Drosophila melanogaster: one gene and its partner. The protein of the gene in region 1 interacts with the protein of each later gene in a pairwise test. Each region holds a gene or a part of one and is shown on either strand. Other genes may lie near its edges.

Region 1 (14,103 bases):
CCTAGAAACTCTGCTGCAGCGTTCACGCTGCATTCCGCATCTGAGGCCTCGAATTGAGCTTTCAAATCATGGTGACTAAAGTCCATTACGGCGTCCAGCAGAATAGGCAGTGTATTAACATACACCTCAGGTACAAATGAGAACAAAGAACCCGTATTTGAAGCAGTCTGATGGATGGAAAGAATAAGATCAATAAAAGATAAAATTACAAAAAAAAATTGCGTACCGTCAAAGTTCGTAACATTCGCTCTAGTAGCCATATGAGCAGGGATCGCCTGTGATTGTTCAGGGCCACTCCTCTTAGCCAAACTTGCTTCCTTGCCAGGGCAATAGAGCGTGTCTGCAAATAGGAAGAAACATATTCTAATTGCTTATAAACTACTTAAATAAGAATAACCAATAGGCAAACTATCAACTCACAGCAAAAACATTCTGACGCTGACTGAACTTAGACCGTAGCTCGCCCATCACATGCTGGTGATTTTCGTTCATGCAGACATTGGCATGCTGCTCCAATGCCCCAAGTTTACGTTCGATATCCTCCCGGTAGAACTTCGTCTCCTTAAGTACTTCATTTAGAGCTGCGATCTCGTCTCTTACCGTGGCTATCTTTACTATGTACTTGTGGCCTGCCGAGTAGTAAAAGATGATACACAAATCAAGGAGTTCGCACAGGCTGGCCTCCATATCCGCGTTGCCCGGCGAGGAGTCGGTGCTGCTATTGGGTCGTGTATTTAGGAAATGAGTGTAGGTTGTATTATTGGCGCCCTGAGTGTGTCCCACTACGGGCACATTGTTTATGTTTTCGCCCAAAAGGTAAAGCGTAGTATCTGAAATTGTGACAAGTTGTAATTATTTTACTGTATGCTTCAGCATTTAAACAAAAGTTTTCGCATACATACCCACTTCATTGACCCGCAAGTTTTGCCTATCATCTTCATAAATTTGCTGAGTTCGAGCTGATCCCAACCTAGCATCGATGTCGCCCCGATGAACTTTTCTTAAATGTGACAAGACACCTCCAACGCGATCAAAGTGCATGTAGTCAAAGGTACCATCTATGAAATAATCGCTGTTCACCTCCACGTTCTTTGTGGGCATTTCATCTTTGAACATCGAGCGCGTCTGATCAATAAGAATGCTAGCAAATGCGAGGGCCACAGGCGCATCGAGTGGATGCTGAATGCTCGATTGCATAAAGAAAAAGGCGTGGAAGGGCTACATGGAGGTTAAGGATCTATTAAAACCGTGCAAAATCATCATTGGGCACACTTACCCTTTGCTCCATGCTGAGATCGATTACGTAACGACGCAATTTGCTCAAAAATATTGAGCGGCTTGACGGACTTTCCCTTGATCCGTCCGAGTTGATCATCAGCGTGCAGAGAAGATCCTTTTGCGCTGTATACAGTGGCTCCGTAACTTTGCGCACCTTCTCGACAACATTCAGATATTTTTCCTTGGGGCCATCGATGCCCTCCGTCCAGGCCATACTGTCAGGCAGCAGTTCCTCCATGATGTAGAACTCCAGTGGATGTATGTAGAGGAAAAATGCAAGACTAAATGAAAAAATTATTCGAATTTAACACTCAGGATTACACGAGTTTTATCTTTTATCCGTACCAGTGCTTTTTGAACAGCTTTCCTTCCAGCAGATACTTTCTGGTCTGTTCGTGCAGGCAAAGGCAATGCAGCATTCCGAGCGCCTGGCGATGCTTCTCATAGTCCAGGCCCTGTATCGTATGCGTAAAAGTACCCAGCAAAGCGTTCACCAACTTCCGCAACACAAACTTGATCTCGTCGCCTTCCATGTAGTTCCAGAAGAGAGATAACAAGCCATGGAGTACGCTGTAGGAGTTTTCCTTCTCGGACGCTAAATTTGTCATGCTCGAGATCTTTCTGAGCAGGACATCTTCGATGATATATGGATCAAATATCTCATTGGTGAACTTCTCAATCAGCAAGGTGGCAAATATGCAGTACACGGTCTTTTTAGTGGAAACGCGAGCATCTGCGCCATTCGTTGGTGCCATCCCAGATTGGGCGTTATACTTGGAAAATATGCCAGCGAGGTTGACCAAGTAGTTCATCAGCAGGTTGGCCCGTTGCAGCTTAAGGATAGGTCGAGCCATTAGCGGCTGGAAGCCCGATACCGGATACATAAAGGGACGATTGCCAAAGTTCGCCTCGATGCCCTGCGTGTAGCCCAAGGAGATGGCTGCGAAGAAGGAGATGCCCGGACCCTTTTCCAACTTGTTGAACGCCACGCCCATGGAACGGCCATTTCGATAATATTCGATCACTTCCTTATCCACGTCAATAGTCACGCCAATAACGTCGCCAATCTGCCATTTGTCGCCGTACCTAGGAAAGCAATTATATACATATAAATCCTGAATCAATGTTGAATAAATGGATATCTTACTTTTTGGTGGATATATGCCAGATCTGCTGTTTGCTGCCATCGTATCCATAGCTGGACTTGGTATCTCCCACCCCGCTGTTTTCGTTAAACTGGCAGGAGTTGGAGGCCCAACCAATCTGCATTACGCCCTTAGTGTGGAGGTGGATCTGTATATAAATGACACGTTCTTAGTACGCACGAGCAACCCACACTCCTCAATACGAGTCAATGACCGGTGGTCAACCACCGTCGAATCTACCACTCATTCCCCAATCTTTAGCTACTCCTCCCACTCCATGTAATAGCGATTACCTCATACATCCAGCGACCGCCGTACACGCAACAATTAGCCCGGACCGTGTTGAAGCTGCCCTGGGAGCGCAGGGCTAGGCGATCCGAGGATACCCGCACTGTAGTCGTATAGTCCACATCGAATATGGTAAGATCCGGGCCAATGCGGCTCTCTGTCTCCATGTACAGGCGCCGAATCTCTTCATTGCTGTCGGTCTGGATTTGTTGGAACTTGTCATCTAGCCAGGTTCGCACTATGAGCATCTGCCTAAGGGAAAGGATTGTCCATTGAAAAGTTTAACCTCAGCGGCTAAGGACACTCCTACTTGGTAACTGATAAATCGGCGAGCTTTGCGGGTCTCGGATCCGGAACCGTCGAGCAATTAGCGCCCTCCAAGTCATCGTCCAGATCCGAATACAGGTTATCGTGGTCCACCTGCTCGAATATATCCTCGTTGAATACTTTCACGAATAATTTTGATATCGACATTTTGGCTCTGTCATTTCAATGCCAGCTTTCTCCAGCCACACAAATTCGAGTCCGATTCCGAGCTCGACCGTCACAAAAAGGAATTCTTTAGCTTTAGGGATGGTAAACTCAGACACTCCTTGTGAATCTGCTTAACGGTGGCAAGTATCGGGTCACGCGACAAGCCGATGATTTTTTAACAAATTTGAATTTTGACAAAATATTATACAGTTTTCTTTCTGGATATCTGACCTGTAACAATTTGTTGCCAAGCTGTATCAAAATTCTGTTATCATAGACCGAATTTTAAAATTTAAAAACTAATGCAAGTTTCTTGAAATATAGATAGTTGTATTAAATAAGTGGACCTTGTCATTCAAATTATGAATTTGAATCAATATTATGTGTACATACATACAAATTTATTATAACGTAACTATTGTATTGACCCCGCAAAATATCGCTCACATTTGCTCCTCCCTAATACTTCCATCCTGCTCTTTGGTACAGTATGCTCCATCTCGTTCTAAAGGCGCTAACAAGCAGCTGTTCAAATTCAACATCGTTGTGCAGTACTGCTCGTCTTCAAGCGCTTCCTAACACCGAGTGAAACGAAAAGTACTTCTCGATATGTAAGGACGTGTTTTCTGTGCTCTGCTAGTTAAGCTAATTAAATTACAAGTTGGCGTTGATTCATGACAAATGAGTTACCAAAAGAACAACTCTACGCTGCTTAAACGTGTGATATTTGCGAGCAGTACAGTTACCTTTCGGTTAATTGACAATTTGCTGTCGTCAGCGACCGAGTGTTTCTGATAGTGGTGTCCGACAACTAGCTAGATCTGGCGGGAAAAGGCTTAAAAGTGAAACGCAATGAAAACAATGCTCATAATGGCGGCTGTTAAATAAATAAATTAGCAATCACACAGTTGACCTTGTGCCAATAACTTTGCGTGGAGAGTATTAACAATTAAATACGCTGAAAATAAAACAGCTAACTGGTCAGCGATGCGAAGTGAAACCGTTAAGATTATTTGTTGTTGTTGCGTGTCTTACAAAAATAGAATTCGCGAAAAGAAATAGAAGGGAAACAGAAATCATTGCCAACCATTCGAAAACAAGACCATTACAACATACGTACATATCTGGGCATAAATGAATATTACTTCTGATTATACATGGGTATATTTGTTTGTAGTCGAGGCAATTGATTTATCTGCCCGTTCTCGACCCGTTTCTTGTTCTTATTTATTTTTTTGCGCGGCAATCAACGCGAATTTCCGAATGTGTGTGTGAGTTTGTAATTTGAATTCAGTTAAAATGAACTGGAAATACGTATGTATACGTATTAATTAATAGTTATTTACAATGTTTCAGTTGCTTCAACTATTCCCGCCAAACCACCCTCGCAAAATATATAGTTTTCTTATCACTTCTCTCCATTACAAGTAATATAAGACCCACATACGTAACTACTGAGCTCTCAAAGAATCAGCATTCACAGTATGTATATTGTGTGTTTACATAATGATAGCTTTCGCGGTCTTCTCGCCTTAACACCGCCCCTATTGCGTCTTGAATCTTTTATTTATCGAAAAAAAAGGCTAAAAACCACTTTGATGACGTTAATGAAATATGAAACTATATATAACGAACAAACGACGGCAGAGGATCTCTGCTAAGCAAATGGGAAGCACAGGAAACCCAATAAAAAAAAAATACCCCCCAGAACAATGTGGACTGACTCACTATAAACAAGGCAGTAACTTGATTAAACCGCCTTTGTTTTTTCTCGACCAGGATATTTAAATAACTCAGTCATATTAGTATCTCAGCAAAGCATACAATTTGCATTAAACACCAACAGGTTAAATCTCAGATATGATACGTTTTCTTTTAATAACTCTGCAATTTCTTATGATATGATAATGGAACATCAAAGAAAATGCCCACATACATAGCTACCATCAATAGCAAAATGTAAACATATATGTATACCTATATATATTCATACGAAGCTAGGAACATGACCATACGCATAGTAGTCAATTACTGCCCATCTTTTTCTTGTTTCTCTGGTCACGTATCTGTCCATATCTATACTCTATCTATAGGAGTCCTGTTCACTTTTATTAGTGTCGTAATTTGTGGAGATAATGAAATGTACTTAAATAGAATAATATTGGTATGGTTTCAGATAAATATTTTTGATGATCACGCATAAATTTATTTTATAAATACTACTCCAATCTCACATCCAACCTTTCTAATCTGCATATAATTCCCGAGACTTATCCGCCTCTAGGTTAATTTCTAAGATAACGAACTGCGATCCAAACGAAATAAGTCACAAATATTTAGCACCATAAGACTTTCAAGATAAGCAGTATAAATATGCAGAGGTAGACCCCGTAGAGCATTTGGTATTCAGCAAAAAAAAAAAAAAAAATGGCAAAGTTTGCCGAATGTGTTTCTCTTGCCATTATCTAATCGATAGTTGAGTGTTTTTGCCTCTGACGTATTGAATGGTCGTGCGCTTTGGAGGAATATGTTTCGGCAACTGATTTGTACGGGTTGCCAACTCAGTCGAGGGCAGCGACATTGATTGACCATATCAGACGACACTTGTCGCAGTGGTCGCTTATCTTAGCTCCGACCTTCCCCGCCAGCTTCGTGCCCCACTGAAATCGAGCCCAGTTTTGACTTGGCCAAACACAGACACGAGTGATTTTCTGTTTGCCTTGTACAAATGCCGCGTAGAACACTTGTTGCCCGATTAGCCATAAACATTGTGCTGGGCTCGTGTATTTCAAACCATGTGAGCGAGATTCTCAACGGGTCTACTTCATTTCTTTGCAGTCAGTCGAGGGCAACGGACACGTACACGTTTAAAGTTTAGAGGAACAAGGAGATTTGCATGCGGCGCGAATAAAGGAGCGATAGTTCCTAACCACAGACAGCGAAGATGTCACAAAACCAATCCTACTTCTGGCAAACGACCAGACACAATGTATACCTGAAGCGCTCGGCCAAATGGCACATGGCGCTGGCCCTGATGGTGGTGCTCACATTCGGCACAATTTGTGCGGCGGAAGCTCAACCGGATAGTGCGGACAATGCGGTCATTGAATCCGGAATACAGAGCGTAAGGATGACCTAATTCCTCCTTTTTAACAGCCTATTAACCAATATGCTTTAATGCTTGCAGAACTTGGACGTGCAGGGAGATTTGAATAGGCCAACGGATCTGAGTTCTTTAGCGGAGAAACCAAAAGATGCTGCGGACCGGCCGAAAACGAAGGGCACCTTTATCGATGCGTTTACCGCATCGATCTCTGTTATCTTACTAACAGAGCTAGGGGATAAGACTTTCTTTATCGCTGCCATAATGGCCATGCGCCATCCGCGTTTGATTGTCTTTGGCGGTGCCATCGCCGCCTTGGCGCTAATGACGGTACTCTCATGCGCATTTGGCATGGCAGCGAACTTTATTCCTAAGGTAGGTCGTGAAAAAATATAATTTAGATAACTTTACAAACTAATGCAACTTTATATTACCTACAGATTTATACGTATTATATCTCAACTGCATTATTTTTAATATTTGGTTTAAAAATGCTGTACGACGGCTACAAAATGAAACCAACCGACGCTCAGGAAGAACTGGAAGAGGTGCAAACTGATCTGCGCAAGCGCGAGGATGAGGTGAGTCGCCTTCGATGGATGCATATGTATATAGTAGTGGTGCTAGATGTTGCAGTAGTTTCTATAGATCCTAACTTTGTTTCAATTAGTGACGCACTTCTGCAGCACCTCGTTGCTGCAATATTATAGTAATTAGTTATTTTTACTGCTTCTGTTAATATCTGCGCTTAATTTTTTGTTTTACTATTATAATAACCATAACGACTGGCAAAATGTAGAGCAAAAAAAAAAGAAAAACAAAACAAATTATTGATTCCACGCCAAAGCAATCACTTCATATGCCACGCTTTGGTTTTCACTCTTACCTTATATTAAAAAATTAAACACCATTTTATTTGCCTGACACGAGAGCCATGAACAATAAGAACCAAACAATTACTAATCAGACACGAACTCTAAGCTTTTCATAATTGTAATTACACCTTGATTGCATGCTAATTAAGAATCTTTGTTAGCCCCTAACAAAAATCCATGGTTACCTTAACTAAATAACCCAAGCCGATTGAAAAATGGGCGCTCCGAATAGCGTCAGTGAAACACCTGTATGGCCACATACTCTCTCAGTTATAGCTTCCGAATATCTTTGGTTTTGATTTGTCTTGAATCAAACATTCGAAATTCACATACAAACATTTACCACACATCTATGACCATGTGACTAATTGCACGATTTGCGCATATCAAATACAAGCGAGTTTCAAAAGTTTATTGATCAAAGCAAATTCGTACTAAACCAGAAAATCGTTTGAAATGGAAAAGCTTTTTGGCAAACGAGAACTCCACCAGAATATTAATCAAAATCAAAATTTCTGCCAATCGAATTTCTAGCTAATGCAAATTTTTAATTGTTTTTCCTTTATGCAACACGAAATTAAAACAATTCGATAATAACGTTGCCCCTCAAAATGTTACCGAAACAAACATAAACTATATATGTTGCACTCAACTTTGATTTGTGCCACGCTCCAAGCGCAGTTACTGCGCAAGGCCAGCCGCAAGTACGAGGACGCGGAGGGCAAGCGAAAGAATAGCAACTCGGACAAGGAGGATGCCAGCGAACAGGCGCTTATCCATGGCCGCAACTCCATTTCCACGGCGGCAGGTTCCACCACGGACATGCAGCATCGCCAGCGGAAACAGCGCAATCATCTCAATAACAATAATAGTAAGCAAAATAGCTGTGATAAAACTGGCAACGATGACGACGACCGGGATCAGCACGAATCGGAGGTGTTCCTCAAGGAGGGCGGCCGCATTGTCGAGCAGCTCAAGTTAAAGACCTTCCCCAGCAGCCCGGCCCACTCGGCGGCCTCATCGAACCAGACCGAACAAACCAACTCTATTGCCGCCTCCACCGCCACCGTAGATGTCCAGCTGGCTGGCCATCCCACCGACCCGTCCGTAGGTGGCGCCTCGGAGCCACGTGCTCCGCTGGCCGGACACGATAGCATGCACAGTCTCAATGGCAGCCTAAACGGAGAATCCGGACCGGTGAATGGCGCTCTCAAAGCACGGGTTAGGACATAGACCGTATTTGCGATTGTCCCGCTTCCGGTTCCCATTCGATTACGTTTTTCGAAATTGGAATTGATTGAATTTTTGGTTTTTGTATTAACGCTACACACTTAGATGGAGATTGTCGAATGGACTATGATCCCTAAAGTCATATCATTTAGATTAAAGAATGATTAATTAACTTCAAATCTCAAGACTTCCAAAGAGTTGTAGAGCTAAGCTAAATTTATCTGAGTGCTGTGAGAGGCTAAAAAAAGAGTAACCTATATTAATAGATTTAATCAGTTTTATTTCTAGAAATTGTAATCGGAATGAGAATCTATATAACTGACAACCGCTAACTTTCGTTGTTAGCTAATCATATATACGTTTCACTTGCTTTTTACCAAAAAAAAAAAACAAAAAACACTCATAAAACAGTGACACTACAGTCGAAAAACACAAGCATCAATTATTTTTTAACTCTAAGTCATCTGGCATTTGGTTTTGTCGCCTCGGTATTTTATTACCCATTAGTCTCGTTTAAATTACATTCGAAGCGCACACATCTCACCCGATTTTTCTCTCTGCATGTTGTTATGATGAAGTGATCGTTTCTTGATTTTTGATTTTAGTTTATATTTTTGGTTTATTAAGAAGGAAAAGCGGTGGTATCCGAGTTTTCTGGTTCAAAAGTATTTACATGTATTTTTAATTTGCTGTCTTATATCCTTTTGTTTGCGCACATTTTCATCGAATCTTTTTTGTCTGTCTGCTGTTCGCATACTGATCCTTAAAAATCCCCATCTTCCTTTACAGCTGGATCGTGATGTGAACGCGGCGCTGGTGAATGACGCCGAGAGCGGTCGTCGTCGTCCACAGAAACGGGGTGCCACCTACTTCACCATGCGCATCCTGGCCCAGGCCTTCACAATGACGTTCCTGGCCGAGTGGGGCGATCGCTCCCAACTGACCACCATTATTCTCGCCGCTAGCAAGGTGAGCACTTTGGATAAAAATAACCGGAATGATTTGGTACATGAAGCTATTATCCGTTGCAGGACGTTTACGGCGTTATCGCTGGCGGTATTATTGGCCACTGCATCTGCACCGGCCTGGCTGTGATTGGTGGTCGTCTCGTGGCTTCCAAAATCTCAGTGCGCACTGTCACCATTGTGGGTGGCATTGTGTTCATCGGATTCGCCATCTACGCTGTCGCCATACCTCCGGATGACATTTAGGCGAAGCCTTTATACTCCAATCGAGATTGCCCGCTGACGACCCCACAATATTATGAAGATTTAGTTTTAGTTACTACCTGATAAACCCCACTTTTCTTCGAGGAGCATCAGGCAAGGATCGTGTTGAACTAGTTTAAAACTAGAAATGCGTTGATGTTTTTAACGTAGCTTTCTTCTTGCCAAACATCCAAAACAAAAGTGCCTTCAGTGCTTTCCGCTTCGGCCATGACATACATTTTTAGTTCACACAATTAATTCTTTTGTTTTCCAATTGTCTAGTATCGCTTTAATTTGTTTGTTTAGTTTCGGTTTCGTGTTAAGTATTAAAGATGATTGTACATACGCGTGTAGAGCCATCGCGATGCCCACGCTCCTCTGAGTTGTATCCTTTCCTTCATAACGCAGATCCTTATTCGCATATTTGTTTACGTAGCCGTGTTTACTTAATGGAAACAACCAAAATGAAACTTTGTAGATTTGATTATTTATGCGAATTTTGTATGAAAAACTAATTAAATTGAGCAAAACAAAGATTTTAAAGTGCGCTTAATGGGCGGGATAAATCTTGTTCTTTCTTTTAAATTTAAGAACCTGTATGAGTGATGAATAAAATCATTAGGTTTCTTGTTATAGGCATAATTTATTATGGTTAAAGTTTGTTTTTAAAGTTTACATCGTGTTTTACAGTCGAAAAATAATTTGGTTAGATTACTTGCAAAGTTGCAGCACCTTAAAGCCCGCCATCTTTTACTGCTTTATTGTTTTGGGATCGCGATAGATGCCCGTAAATAGGATCGACCTGGAAGTGCGGTCGTAGATGACGAACAGGAACGGATGGTTGCACTCAAACTTGGCCGGCTCCACGGGCCTGGCCGAGCGGTAGGTGAAGAGGACTGTGGCCGCCGCCGCAGTGCTACCCTCCTCGTCCACCTTGATCTTGGCCACGTGCTTGGAGTCACCGATGGAAATCGTCTCGGAGGTCAGATCATCGAAGGTAGCGACAGACTCATCGAACATTTTGCTAACTCCCATTTTGGCAAGGATCTAAGGAATGGAGCAGGTCAAAACTAAATCAAGCTTTGGAATCAAAAAGTCTAAACTTACAGGATTAAGTTCCAGGCGCTGTTCAAACTCAAACTTGGGCAGCGAAACTTCGATTTCGCGGGGCATTGCCTGCTTCAACGAATCATCCAGACTGTCGGCATTCAACCGGGAGAGCACATCTTCGAGGGAATTACTGTTAAATGGCGGCAAGATGAGCACCATGGAGATGTCCGAGTTCTCATCCGGCGAGCTGTCCTCCTTCTCCTGAGACTCAAAGACGGTGCGATAGGGCAGCTGAAGCACGTGGGCGCGGAGCTGTTCGTCGACATTCAGTAAGAAGGTGCCCTTCTGTTGCATCATGGACACGAGAGAGTAGTTCGACGGAGACGTGTAGAAGGGCATGGGCACCGTCTTCTCCGTCTTGAACTGACTGAGCCACTGACCCTTCAGATAGGCGGCGTTGGCCAGGACCAAACGAGTGCGCGGAGTGATTTCATCGGCACTGAGCATATTGCGGATTTGATCGTGCGTCTGCTTGGCAATCCAATCGTTGATTTGCTTGCGCGACTCCTCCGTCTGGCTCTTGAAGTCGATCTGCTGCACCTCCTCGGCCAGACGATTCCTTGCGCATTCGGTCACATGCAGATCATTGGCGAAGAATATGCGATCGGCTGAGGAGAACTCGAGAGGCATTTTGCTCTGCCGCTCCTTACGGTTCATCTTCTCCAGAATATAGGCACTGCGCACCACCTCCTTCGAGTCGGCCCAATCCAGATGCAGCACCTTGGCCAACTCCTTCTCCGTGTCACCAGAGGATCCGAAATAGGCGAGGAGCAGGGCATGATACGTGCTGTACGGCGAGAAGAAGACGTTCTCATTGGGAGTGCTCTGCCGAATCACGTTCAGCATGGACACGGCAAAGTTCTGTTGGCCCTTATAGAGGTTCAGCCGCTGATCCAACAAACCCGCATCGGGCTCAACCCCACAGAGACCGGCTAAGGCGATGGCCGGCAGGACCGCCATTAGAGATATGCTGAGGATGTGCATGATGTGGAAGCCTGCTAAAAATTGGAACATGATTTAAGTTAAAATAGCAATTATTTTAACGGCTGCAAGCACATGTGATTGAAATGGGTAACCGAAAAGCACAAGACCCCTAAATATGTGACCTTGTATACCATTTTATTTTTGAGTGTGTGATTTGTGTGGAATACGTGACCGGCATTGAATCCTGGTATAATTTCTCATCTAATTTATTAGACAACTAAGCATTTAAAGCGCACTCAGGCCAGAAAAATTTATGAATCTCCCAGAAATATTGACAAAATTCCCCAAAGTGATTTCTGTGTAAAGTCACTACTAATTATGGGAGTAGTTAAATTAGAACTGCAAGTCCCAGCTAATTACGTACTTAATATTCACTTAGTTTGCCAAACTTCAAGTCATTAGGGTTTTCTAGTTACATAAACCGACTACTGCAGAATTGTTGTAAACAATCACGAAATATTTTATAGACTTAGCTTAGATGATTTGTGATTGAAACTTTTTAGAAAATATAGAACCGATTTGAGGTCGTTAAAGATCGCTTTAGGCTGATTCACCAAAAAGCTTTTTCCAGTCCATGGAGTGGTCAGCTATTTGCAGACGACAGTTGCAACATCTCCGCAGAGGCGACATTAAAAAAAAGTGAAAGTTTCCGCTGCTCTGCACTCGAAATTCGCAATCCGAACATAATGTATCCATACATCAGCCATTCCCACATGCATCCATCGGAGCATGAAGGAGCGCCCACAGATCGGATCGGATCGGGGATCGGTTTGGGAGCTTGAGCTTTGTGATGACCATAGCTCCAGTTTTGCTTTCAGCAGCTGAGCGATGACGAAGTCATCCGTTGCGTGACTGCAGTGAAAAGCGCTTTGTTGTGTGAAAATAAAAAACCCAAAATTAACATTTTCGATAACCGGTTGCGGATACCACCGGCAGTTACCAATATACATAGTATATGATTCATAAACGTATTTCAACGCGTATGAATGCTCATTGTTGACCCTGTATGGGCGATTTTGTAATTGCTTTCGGCTGGGTCTTTTATTTTTTTTTTTTTACCCCATAGACGTAACGCTGTTTCTGCGCATGCGCGTCGTTTTTTGTGCGTTTTGCTGGGTTTTTTTTGGGCGAATCCAAAAAATATTGAACAACCAGTTTTTTGACTGACAGGTGGAAATGGACATGTCAGCCAAAATTAAGCTGCATTGAACTTGGATTAATTGCTTTGTCAAAAACACAAGCACTTCCTTTGAAATTTCTTAGTAAATAAATATAAGTAGAATTCAAATTTCTTGGACAAATGCGATTTACTTTTTAATCATGTCATATGAGTGACTAAGGCAAAATTATTTATTTTTGCACAACAAAATTAAATAAATATTTTCATTCCGATTTCAGTGTTTTCCCCGTTTTATTTATAAACGCAGAGCTATGTGTCACTCAAAACAATATTTTTCTTTAAAGTCATCAAGTGAAAAACCTATTAAATTGGAGGTCATTATGGGATCGCACTTCAGAGATCAATCAAATCAAGGCTATAGTGGCAAAAAGTTATAAACAGCGAAAATACACTGGCCCATTTAAAATGCGTGCCTGATATATGTACATATGTATGTATATTCAAATCCCTATATGCGTAAACATATATCTACGTATGTATGTGTAATTGTGCAATCATTTGCATGCTGATTAGTGTTACAATAATAGACAACGCTTTAATTTCAACCCGATTCGTTCGCTTAATGATCGTCACAATTGCCGGGGAGTTGAACAAATTGGGACAGACACAACTGGATGATCACTGGGAAATACCTTCTTCGAGTAAACGTAGGCTTAAGTGGCACCGATATACAACTATTACTTGGAACGACTGCAAGTCCGTTCACCAGCGCGTCTAACTATAAACTGAGTCCGGTGCTCCAAAGTAGCTTGGTACTTAAAACCCAAAGCGCAGCTTGGATATCGATATCCGATGATTGTCACTCAGAAAGTCAAGATGTGGGTTGCTTCAACGGGTTTGCGTTTCGTGCAAAAGTTGTTACTTAAACTGCGATACAAATGTTGTGACTTGGATATGAGCTTTTGAGAGTTGTATGGAAATTTAAAAGTATTACCTTTCAATAAGCTAGCTTATATCGAAATTAATAAATGAAAATAACAGTTGGTGCATTATAGAGCATATTTTTCTTCAAGTTTTTCAAAAACACACAAGTCTTAAAACACTTCTAGTGCTGCATTTGCCTGGGATCGCTGTAGACGCCCGCAAAGAGAATCGTGTCTACCTTTTCATCATAGATAAGAAACACGAACGGGTGGTTGCAGTTGAATTTGGTGGGATCGGGCTGCCTGCTGGATCGGCTGACCAAGAGGATGGTGGCCGCTGCCGCAGTGCTGCCCACTTCGTCCAC
Region 2 (11,181 bases), on another chromosome or scaffold:
TAAGGGAGGAGTATGAAAATCTTGTGACATAAGGTTCAGCTTGCTTTAGTAAAGTTTAGTAAAATCGGAAATAAGTTGAGAACGGTTCTATATATCCATTCCGAGGTAAAACTATATGTTTAGCTTGCTTTAATGGAAATTTAATGAAATCGGAAATGCTTAAAAAACAGATCTATAGATCCTATATACTAGGTGGAACTGCCCAGTTACTGGCGCATCTCTTTCGAAGGCAAATACGATGGACGTCGAGGTGTGCTGGCCAAAAGGTAAACAAAATGTAAATTGGTTTCGGTTTTCCAATTCCGTTTTTTCTGTGCTATGTGCTGGCCAATGCCGATGGAAGTGGCAGATGGTGCGCCGTTCAATGCACCCGATACGGGACGCTTTCCCCAGTCGAAGAACCCATTAGGGCTCAAAGCCGAACGCCATTGAACCTGCCACTCCAAGGTGGCTCCAGCACACGGGTGTGAGGTTTGCTGGGGCTTTGGCCTATTAATGGCGTTCCGCTGCCGGCCGTTGATTAATCCAATTATGGGGCGATTAACGTTCCACTTGCACATCAAGTATCCGCCACGTGGTGCCGTCTGACAGCAAATAATAAAAACCTTAAGTGCAGCAAGATGGAGGCGCTAGCAAAGTTATGTCCAAATCGAACTCCAGTGCTTCCGCCACCCGGAAACTCGGCCGAAAAGCTGTCCCACATGAAAATGCCAGTCGGCCAAGTGGCACGCATCATGCAACATGCGGGTGCAGACCGGGGCACTTTCAGTGTGGAATTTAATCAGAAAACAATTGCATAAAATTATGCTCAGCAAGGCGAGAAATTAGTTTTTACTCGCACCAAGCGGGCTGCAGTCGCAGTCCCAGGATGTTGGTTGGCAGATGACATGGCCAAGTGGACGGACACACGGCGAAGTGCTTGCTCCACTCCAAGGACCTCCTGCTTCCCCTTGTGTTTGCCCCGGCACTTTTGTTGTCCGACACGATGTCTTGATGTTCAAGAGACTTAATTATTAAAGCAGTTTCGGGCGACCGGCCACCCTTCTCCGATTTGGGCAGCTCCAGCTGGATCCTTTGGAGCTAGCTGCCTGTCGAATTGAATGCGTAATTATGAGCCATGAACCACTTCTGGCTGAGCAACAGCTGCCAAAGCGACTGACTAGGAGAACGATGGCGACGGGGACAATTGGCAGGGACGGGTTTGTTGGCTGAAAGTTAATTTTAAGCACACATTTCACTGAGCTCATTAAGCACACAGTCTGCCCGCTCCATACCCCAGTCCGCCCTTCCGCCCAAAATTGCGCTCCGTAAATCGCGCGGATAATCAAGTTTTTGGTTGAATGCAAATGACAGAGACTCCATCGCGTCTATTAACTTTTGATTTGCGCGTATTTGCCGGATGGCGGAGGGTATTGACAGGAAATCTCCTCGCCACTAATTCAGTATTTGTATGGGGTTTTCTGTGGAAACTAAGTTATTCAGCTAAATTCTGCTGACAAGCTGGAATCAGTGATTGGTTATTGCTTGAGCGTCTTTAAGGGCTTAACAATATAAAAGTACAGATCGATACCCTGCCTATCAGCACCGAATTAATTAGCTAAGAACACAATATATATATATATATATAAATATGTATATATATATATCAAATAAGTGCAGTGGATGTCCAATCATCTGATTCTCAAGAACATTAATCAATGCGTTTACATGAAAATCCCCGACAGGCAAACATCAATATTCGCACTGAACAGCTTGAGTTGCGCCCAAATGTGTGCTACACGTTGGTCGACTGGTGCACCGCCATGGTGGTTAGGGAATGTGGGGTGAATCTATCAGGAACCTGCGGAATATGCGAGTGCCTTATTAGCCAGTCAAAACATGAAGGCAGTGGCGCTGGCGTTCCTGATTGCACGTGCGCTGGCGTTACCTCATTTATCAGCTAATCAAATTACATGGCCATAATACGCAAACATTTGCATGAAGGGAGCCCAGGAACACAGGGCAGCTTTAATAGGCAATTTGCGTTAAACGCTGATTGAATAACCATTAATGCAACTAAAGAGCCAGTGTGCCACACATGCGATAATAATGACATCAGCAGGTGGGTGGGTAAGTGCAATCAGGTCGTAAACACGTTCCGACGGCACCAGTGACTGACTTTTGAAGCGACTGGCTGAGGATGGTGAGCCAAAGTCCTGGACAAGGACTTCGACAACAACGACTAGCTGACGACGAGTCGATCAATGTACAACAGCATTTTCTGCTAATGGGCCACAGGCAGGGTGGCAGGAAGCGCCATTAGACCAGGTGCCACATGCGTTGATGATGAAAAGAAAATGCATTAGGACCGGCCATGATGAGCCCGCACTTGGCCATGAAGGCCTTCAAAGCCAGCCGTGCCCACCAGCCGAGTTTATTAAGATCGCATTTATCATAATTACCGCCGGGTCGTTGTGTTGTGTCTGGTGGAGCAGGATTCAACGCCATGTGATGACATATTCAGCAGGCAAAGCGGCCGTTAAATTCTTGGAATTTCATTCCGCATTGGCAAGCCCGAAAAAATGTCTATGGTGGTCCTGTCAACATGGGGGAGGCTCATAAAAAATGCGACAGGCAGACCCCATGAAAAACCAAAAAAAAAAAAAAACCCTGCAACACAGGGAAAGTAGTCTTCCACTTTTATTACGTCAGTTCTATTTAGTGCTATACCGTTATTGTTAATTATGTCTAATTATATTAGTAGAAGTAATTCATCTTTGCACTTATCCTATGCTACACCCGTTTGTGTATAATGAAATACCTATCTAGGAATACCAGACTACGATCCACCTTAACTATTTTTCTTTCTGTGCATTAACAGCTGGGGGAAAAAGCCAAGAATTTATATGCGCTGGGGCAGCCTGTGGAGCTGGAACCGAAACTGGGAATGATTCATGCGGAAATAAAGGCACTCGAGAGTGCCGTAAATATTGTGGTGGCGACCACAACAACAGCGGCTCTGGGAAAGGTGGAAAACAAAAGGAAAGCTTTGCATTTTCGCACCTTTTCAGGAGCGAACACGACTGAATCGCCGTTGATTCATTAGCTGAATGTGACAAGCCGTCAGTGAATGTCCAAGTGTCCAAGTGACCAAAAGTCCGGGTGTTCACGCACTCGCTCCGTAAATTCTGTCCGTTGTTTCGTGTCCGCTGCTGGTGTGCATTATTTAATTGACATGTTGATTGTTTCGCATTGCGATTCCATTTTATGTGCACTTTCAGGCGAGGGTGTGAGGCAGTTCCGCCCGGGGCGCGGTGCGGGGTTGTCCGCTGTTCGCCCGACGGCCGAGCGGACGGACAAGTGCCTGTTGAAGAGCTGGTCAACTGCGACGACTCACCAAAATAACGCTCAACAGTTTGTTGTGGAGCACGTAGAATAGGAGAGCGAGCAGCAAATGTTGCTAAACATTCGAGTGAATAGAGTCAAAACAAATTGTTATTTCAAGTAGACTAGGCAAGCAATATTATTCGTAATACAACATATCAGATTCGATTAACTTTTCATCTTTAAAGCCCAATACACAATCTATATTTTTTTTTTTTTTATATTTATTTATTTAGAAGCGATGAATCCATACAATGCAGTAACAGTAACATAACAGCGCAATTAACATATAAAAGATAAAACCAAACCTCTCACTAATCATGTGAGGACTTAAGACAATCTATACTAATAAGCAATAAGCAAGTAAGTAAAACAAATAAATCAAACAAGAACATAAATTTATATGTTAAATGCTATATCATTATAGCCATCTTTATACAAATTGTATCTCTTTGCTGATTATCGTATATAAGTGTAGGCAGTAAATGAATAAGAATAATATTTAAATTAAATTAATATTAAGTTTAAAATCGTAAAAGAATAGTAGAAATCCATTCATATCACAAAATAATGGGATTCAAATTATAATAAATATTATAACAAAAGTAGTATAATTTCAAACACTATAAGCAAAGAAACTGTATTTAATTAGAACTACTTTGAAATTACGTTTTTTCGTGTGCCAAATTTTATTTGGATTTTGACCACACCGATTTGGATGTAAGCCCACTGTGCCGAAGATTTGTCAAACTTGTTGCTAAAAAACGCGCCAAAATATGTGAGTGACGGAAAGGGACGGCGGGAAGGCGGAACAAGGCCAAAAGTACCGCACCGCAGCCGTCAACACTGCAGTCATCGGCAATGAGTAACTTCCAACAACCCACCACGACCCCCAATCTCCGCCGGGAAACCCACCTGCGAGGCGCAGGACAGGAGCGTGGTGAAGAGCGCCGCTCGGAAGTCGGAAAATGGAAGGCGGCCGAGCAGTTGCGACGCGACTACCAAATGAATCGGACGCGATAGCGCTTCAGCGGAGGTCGAGAACTGAAATGTTTGCCCAAGAACTGTATATACCAAGTGCTTGAAAGCCGTTAGCAAGTGGTTCATTTAAATATTCGTTTGAAGTCGGTTCGATTTCAGGTATTCGCTGGATTTCGGTATGTCGCGTGGGTTCGAAACTAAAAGTTCATTTTCCGTGCCAAAAAGTGTTTGCCAACAAGAAGGACTTTAAAATATCGAATTCTGCTGCGGGATCTCTGTTACTCTTGCATCTTCTGATCCTTTTCTCCGTTCAGAGGATGCGTGAGTATTCGATTCATGATGTTTCTTCGCCACATGACCAAGCTAAATGGCTAAGTTTTCCGTTTGGCAACGGCTGCAGTGGGCAGTTAAATCACATCTATTGTGGTTCAAAGTTTTGCTTTCACTCGGTTGCTTAATTAAAACAAAGTTTGAAACCCTAAAGTGGAAATTACATGGAACATCTGTTTCCAGGGCGATTTCAAAGCTTGTTCAATTCAATTCCCTAACCGCCACTCCGGACACTAATTGCATTTGCTGGCAGGATGGACAACTCGTTCGAAAGTGGCCGCTTATCGAGTCGTCCACTCGGAATATCGCCAATATCAGTCTTATCGCCCCCGGGACTTTTGTCGCCATTTATGTACGTGGAGCCAGCCAGCGAGCGAACGACACGTCAGAAAACGTGGCATACATTCGGGCGCCTTCGCGGGCTGGCCACGATGGCGAATACTTAATTATTCATATGCGAGCTGATGGTCCTTCGCGATGTCTTTCCTTTTGAGCCGTCACTCGAACACTTGTTCCGCCTGCAGTTCCATTTCGCTGACGAAAGCCACTGCACTTCTGATGGGGTGGTATAAATTATGTTTTTTCCCATTGACGCAGAACAAAATACGCATTCGTTTGCGGTACAGATACAGATAGTGCAGCGCATGGGTAAACATGGAGTTCGGTAACGAATTCGCGGTTAGATCGTGCCTTCGCATGCCATACGATCTGGATTTGGGCATACTGGGAAATTAGAATGCCCATTGACAGCGCATTAAGTATACGCCGTGTGTGTGGAGTAATCTATTGTTATCTGGAAATCTATTGTTAGATTTGTGCGCCAACAGTTTGTTGGTGCTCCGCCCTCACCGCTCTCCTGCACCACAACACCCCCTCGCCGGCCGAGCAGGCATCAAAGCTTATTCATAACATTTGCTTTTGTTGGCGACACAGATACCCACAAGCACACACAAGCACACACACACTGACGCAGTGGGGCCTTCTGGGCAGCTATCAGCAGTTGGGAAAACCCTTTTTGGCAAGTCCAACAATAGCAATTCACATTAGTTATGTGGCTGAAAAAATCGGAAAGAGGGAAACTTTTACATCTGCTGCTGGCATTTTATATAAATTATATTAGAGTCCGACATCCCAAGGCTAGCTTACACTTACGACTGCTGTATAGTGAATTTAGACTCACATTCGCCCAATTTAACTTTGCAGCTGCTCGGTATCGAAATCCTCGTCGCCAGCCAAACGGGAGCTCAAACTGAAATCCATTTCCAAACTTTCGCCTAATCAACGAGCTACGTCCACTTACCCCTGGCTCCAACTCGAAAGGAGCTCGCTCCAACGCTCCCAAAAGCGGATTTCGAGTGCCTCGCTGGGCCGAGCCACCTGGCATGTCGTATTCAAAGGGAATCGCAGATTGACGGCCACATCGCGGATTGAGGTGACTGCAAACTGGGTGCGAGCGCCGCCATTACTCGGTATTTTGATTTCGCTTTCCTGGGCCGCAACGGGCAATTAATTTGCACCACTTTGGAGCCGCTCCGCCTCGATTTATGTGCTCTGCTCAAAGTTGGGGCAACTATTTGGTTTGGTGTTTGTGGAATGTGCTGTTCATAACTTGTATCATAACTTGTGTCAAACGGCGAAACTAATCGAGCGAGGGAGATTTAAATAAAAATTCAACATGGCGATGGAATGGATAACTGCAATGGACAAACGGTAAGTGATTTTTTAATGAGCTGCACAATTAATGAGCAGCGATTTTGGGGAACTTTTCTTTAAATTCTAAGTTTTTAGCTCCAAAAGTTTCCTTAGCTGAAACGGAATGCTTTCTCTTAAATTTAAGGCATTTCCCAGCTGAGTGCACAAGTTTCTTTCCTCTGTTTTCCCGGAGCAGACACGTACTCACACATCGACGTACGTGTAAGTTGAATGAAAAGCTCGACGTGGAGTACAAACAAAACGAGAACGAGAAGCGAAACATTTTAAAATGTTGCCGTCATGCTCGACATTCATTTGTCAAGAACCAACATCGGGGTGCCCCATCCTCCTCCATCCTTGATGGCTGGCAAATGGCCAATCCATCCACTTTGTGGACACGGCCTGCCACGAATTATCCGCTTTATTAAATCTCGATATCAATTCTCCGTAACTCAATGAGCCGCCTTCTGCACAGCAATTATTTCATCATTCCTGATTTGGACACCGAACAAAGGAAAATAAAAACAGGACTTTAATCATGACATTCATATCTTTCTTGTGAATTGAAATGCAAAATAAATGTAATTGTAGTTCGCTATAAATAAACCAACCCATTTAATGATACTACTCTTAAAATACAATTTATATTATGATAAAGCATTAAAGTAATTTACCATTCATTTCATGAGCTATGCCTGAAAAGTGTTTTCTGTCGTGCAAAAATAATAATTAAACCGCTGTAAAAGTATAAAAATACTATAATTTAATTGAAAATATATATATTTCTGCTGAAAGCTCCGCATTTCAGAGGTTTTAATGCACATACATTTTTTACGTAAATATGTGCTTTGCAATTGGATGGAGTTTAGTCTTGTGCAAACATTATTTTAGTGGAATAAAACAGAGGCACGGGACTATTGTTTTTTTTTTTTAGTTGATGTCAGACTTTATACTTTCCATTTAAGAGAGCGGTTTCATTTTATCTGGACACCACAGTATTTATCTTTTCACAGCCAACATAATAACATTACCCTTATCTAAATTAATGAAAAAGCTCATATGTGAGATGGAGTATCTCTCCTGATGACATGCTATTTCTAAAGCATTTACTATTGCAACAGTCAACAGAATAGTCAGCATTCTAAAGCATTTACTATTGCATCAATCAACAGAATAGTCAGCATTTAGCGTGTAAAATATTTATATACAATTACGGAATAACCAAATTTATTTTAGTGTGTGCGCAGTACTTAAGCTTAAGTTGAACTTGATTCGAGCTAATCAAACATTGACCAGAGATCAAAATTGTTTTTCAAAGTGTCTAAATCGATTTGCCCAACCGTAAATGGCCGGGAATCGAGCACACATTCTTCCCAGCAACCACTTGATGCAATTTGTTGGATTTCAGCTGGGGCATCGCTGGACGAGTGCCACCATTACCATTACCATTATTAGCCCCGCCTGTCCCCACCGACTGCTCAGTTGTGCGGCACACTCTATTATTGCAGAGTGGCCTTATATTTCATTGGTGTTATCCGAATGGGGCGTGCCTCCGCCTCATACCGGCCCGCCCCTAACCGCCGCGCACACACACCATCAATCAGAGGACAATCTCTTCAAATTTCACGCTCTGTCAACGCTTAAACGCTTCTGCCGCACTCGCACTAAAGCATGAGGGGTCAGGGGTCAGCGGGCACTCATGTGACTGTGCGCGGCAGCGGGAAAAAAGAAAGGTCAAGTGGCAAGGGCTTAAAGCAAACTGTTTGCCTTGTGCCTGGGCAAACATTTGCAGACCGCTGCCTTTTGTTTGCCCCGCCCAAAGAGAAAGGGCCTAGTAGCGCAAGGGTGCCAGGATGCCAGGGTGCAGTATGCAGATCCAGATTTCTTTCACAGCTCTTCGGCTGCTCCTTCTTATGGACCTAATACAAATGGCCTCGTACTAAAGTAGGGAGCGAAGACAAAATAAACGATTTAATTTGGACAGAATTAATGGCACAGCCAAGAAGGGCACGTCATGCTGACTGGTAATTCGGCTTATCAAGAGCGATCTGGGCTTAAGCGCACCTGGAGATAAAGGACGAGGGAGCACTCGGTGCATGCCATCGGAGAATCCTTGGAAGGAGGCAAGGTAATCGCAGAACGTAAGGCGTGAAGTGGCAAAGCCAGCAGACAGCAATTGATATTGATGGCTTCCCCTTCCCGGCGGAGGAACAATCGTCTTACTTACAAGTGCCGCCGCACATTTATCATACGCCACGTGTGCCAAAGCAGCTTTAATGTGTGCGAGGAGGCCACCCTTCCCCGCAGCTTTAAGGCTGACGAATCGCCGGCACGCCAATTACAAAATTCCGAAACTAAACTTTCGGGCGTGTGCCTAAAAACCGCAAAAACCATTATAATAAACAACGAGCTGGCTGCCTAGGATGTGTCCCAACGCGCTTCCGGCTCTTTGGATCACTCCCTTCGTCCTTCGCCTTTCGCCCACCAACAGCCACCTGGCTGTTTGGTTAACGACAAACCCAGAAACGGTTAGTGGCCCCCCTTCTCGGCACTCGGTTCCCGAAATTGCCGCTTCTACTGGCGAATGAATTATGCATGAGCCCGGCAAGACAGTTCACCTTCAGGAGCCGGATGAAAGTTGTTCGCAGGCTGCGCCAAAAAAGTAGACGCCTCGCTGCAAAAGTAGCCCTCGATGCAGATGATGCCCGGCCAGGGGCAAGCTTGGGATCTATTCCTGACTGCAAGCTGCCTTTGTCTGCCCAGGTCAGCCCTTCCTGCGGACGCACCCGCTCCGTCTGAGTTTTATGGAATTTTTAATTAGGCGAAAGTTGGGTGGGGTCTCCAGTGTGGGCGGCATTGGGGGATTTATGGTGGGCGGGAGCTCGCCTGAAAATTGTTTAAAACTTTTGGTAACATGCCGCATGGCAGCAAGGCGCAATTTGTTGTCTGTTAGACATGTAAAAACATTATTTATAGCGCGATTTGTATTGTTTTCCTAGGGGGAAAAACTTTATTTTTTTTTTAAAGCAAGGTGATTTAATTTTTATTATTTAAAATTAACTTACTTGCACTTCCTGAATTTGAGAACTCCTTATTAGATCTGACAGCTAACTTTTTCTCAAATGCAATTAGTTGACGCTTCACTCTCATTGCTTCGCCATTTCCCTGCCCTTCTTCTCATTATTCTGGGCGGACTTCCGTTTCCTGCAGATTCTTGCCCGGAAACTCTTATACTTATTTATTCATTTTTCAATTGACTTGCACACAGACAGGCAAAAAATATAATTTGCATACTTAATGCGCGCACAAACCGAGCACAAATGACACTGGAATTTTTAATTTGAGTTCATTGTTGAACTAATACTTTGCTTTGCCATTTCTCCTCATTTTTATTCAGTTTATGGCCTTCCAAAAGTAGATCCAAAAATAGAATAATCCACGTGAAGTGCTTTTCATAGAGTCAGTAAATTATAAATGCAAAATACTCGTTATTCTTCGTGTTCTTTTTTTTTTGGTTTCTTCTTTCCTTATTGCAGTCTATTGTTCGGTTGTTTTGAGTTCAGAAACGACTCATTTCTCAGAGTCCTTTACACGTATTAATTTTTTACTTTTGTTATTTCAAAGGAGCATTTTGCTTTGTTTTATAATTGTCCTCTTTGATAATTTGTTATTCGTTGTGATAAGCTAGGTAAATCTTCCTGGTAACCTTAATGCAGAATGTTAGTATTTAACAATAAACTTAATCAGTAGCCGAAATGAAAGCTGCATGACAAGCGTACTTATTTATTTTTTATAACATATAGAGAGAATGCTATGAACGAGATAATCCACTATCAGATACAAGGTCAAATGTCAGATATAATAAGAACTTTATAGAAACAATATTTCAGTGTCTCGACTATTCCATACCTCTTACCCTGTAAAGGGAGTGCGAGAGAAGTGCTGATACTGCAACCATATACTGTTTTCCAGATTGCATTTGTTATTGAAGTGATTAGGGAGAAGCGTGATCTTTAAAGTTTCCGTGATTTCGATGTTTATACGGAAAAAACTTCGTTCAAACTTTCCACCTTTAACAAATATTATACACCACTTATGTAAACAAGTCATCATATATGAGTGCGATATTGTTTTTTTTTTTTTTTGCGGTAGCGCGGCTCAAGTGTGTTATCTTCTATAAAATTCAAATTGCACATAGAAATATTTAATAAGCTGCATGTTTATATTAATCTGAAACCCATACTAGCACGGCAAGTGATTTTAAAGTACATTAACGTCTAACCACTTTTAAACGATTTTCAGTCCTTGCGACCGGAACCTGCGTGATGTGGAGCTAATTTCGTGCCGGTTGCGTCGCGTGGAGCCGCTGTGTCGCCTCCCGGGATCTGCGCTCCAGCAGTTGGCCATGTGCGGATTCTATGAGGACCTGGAGAAGGGGGTGACTCGTGAGTGCTGGATTGCGGGGATTAACTATGCGACAGAGGTGGCTAACTCAAACTTCTCCTCCCCGCAGTTTTTCGCGCCGGCGAGCAGGGACGCTTCTGGTATGCAGTGCTCGGCGGATCGCTGGAGGTGCGATACCATGCCCACGCCGATGCCGATGGCAAGGTAAGTCCTTACTTACACCAGTCAGGAGATGAGACATCCTGGAACACTATTCCGCCGTGCGCAGAGTGCGAGACAATGCGCGTGCTGAGCAATATAATTGATAGTGATTACTCGGCGTACCCGCCGTGTTGCATATCCGATCCGCCGTGCATGCTCAATATTCCGGGGATTTGGGCCTGGGTTGGGGGTTGGGTTTGACTCAAGTGG

What was found.
Region 2: the proteins of CG42542 (region 1) and Epac interact in a two-hybrid assay, tested with the Drosophila melanogaster proteins (one large-scale study listed by BioGRID).

What each region holds. Positions count from the first base shown.
Region 1 is NT_033777.3:15,192,842-15,206,944, forward strand, and holds CG42542 (uncharacterized protein), read left to right. Parts: upstream 1-3,756; 5' UTR 3,757-3,796; intron 3,797-4,100; exon of another isoform or gene 4,101-4,456; intron 4,457-6,023; 5' UTR 6,024-6,129; coding exon 6,130-6,309; intron 6,310-6,372; coding exon 6,373-6,663; intron 6,664-6,728; coding exon 6,729-6,869; intron 6,870-7,722; exon of another isoform or gene 7,723-7,802; coding exon of another isoform or gene 7,803-7,844; coding exon 7,845-8,384; intron 8,385-9,182; coding exon 9,183-9,362; intron 9,363-9,424; coding exon 9,425-9,604; 3' UTR 9,605-10,136; downstream 10,137-14,103. Other genes in the region: Kpc1 (Kip1 ubiquitination-promoting complex subunit 1), read right to left, coding at 1-167, 227-340, 421-830, 903-1,218, 1,277-1,559, 1,624-2,364, 2,426-2,571, 2,717-2,963 and 1 more; Spn88Ea (serpin 88Ea), read right to left, coding at 10,352-10,648, 10,709-11,695; Spn88Eb (serpin 88Eb), read right to left, coding at 13,921-14,103.
Region 2 is NT_033778.4:6,792,109-6,803,289, reverse strand, and holds the start of Epac (exchange protein directly activated by cAMP), read left to right. Parts: upstream 1-4,348; 5' UTR 4,349-4,520; intron 4,521-5,877; 5' UTR 5,878-6,349; coding exon 6,350-6,384; intron 6,385-10,668; coding exon 10,669-10,811; intron 10,812-10,879; coding exon 10,880-10,974; intron 10,975-11,181.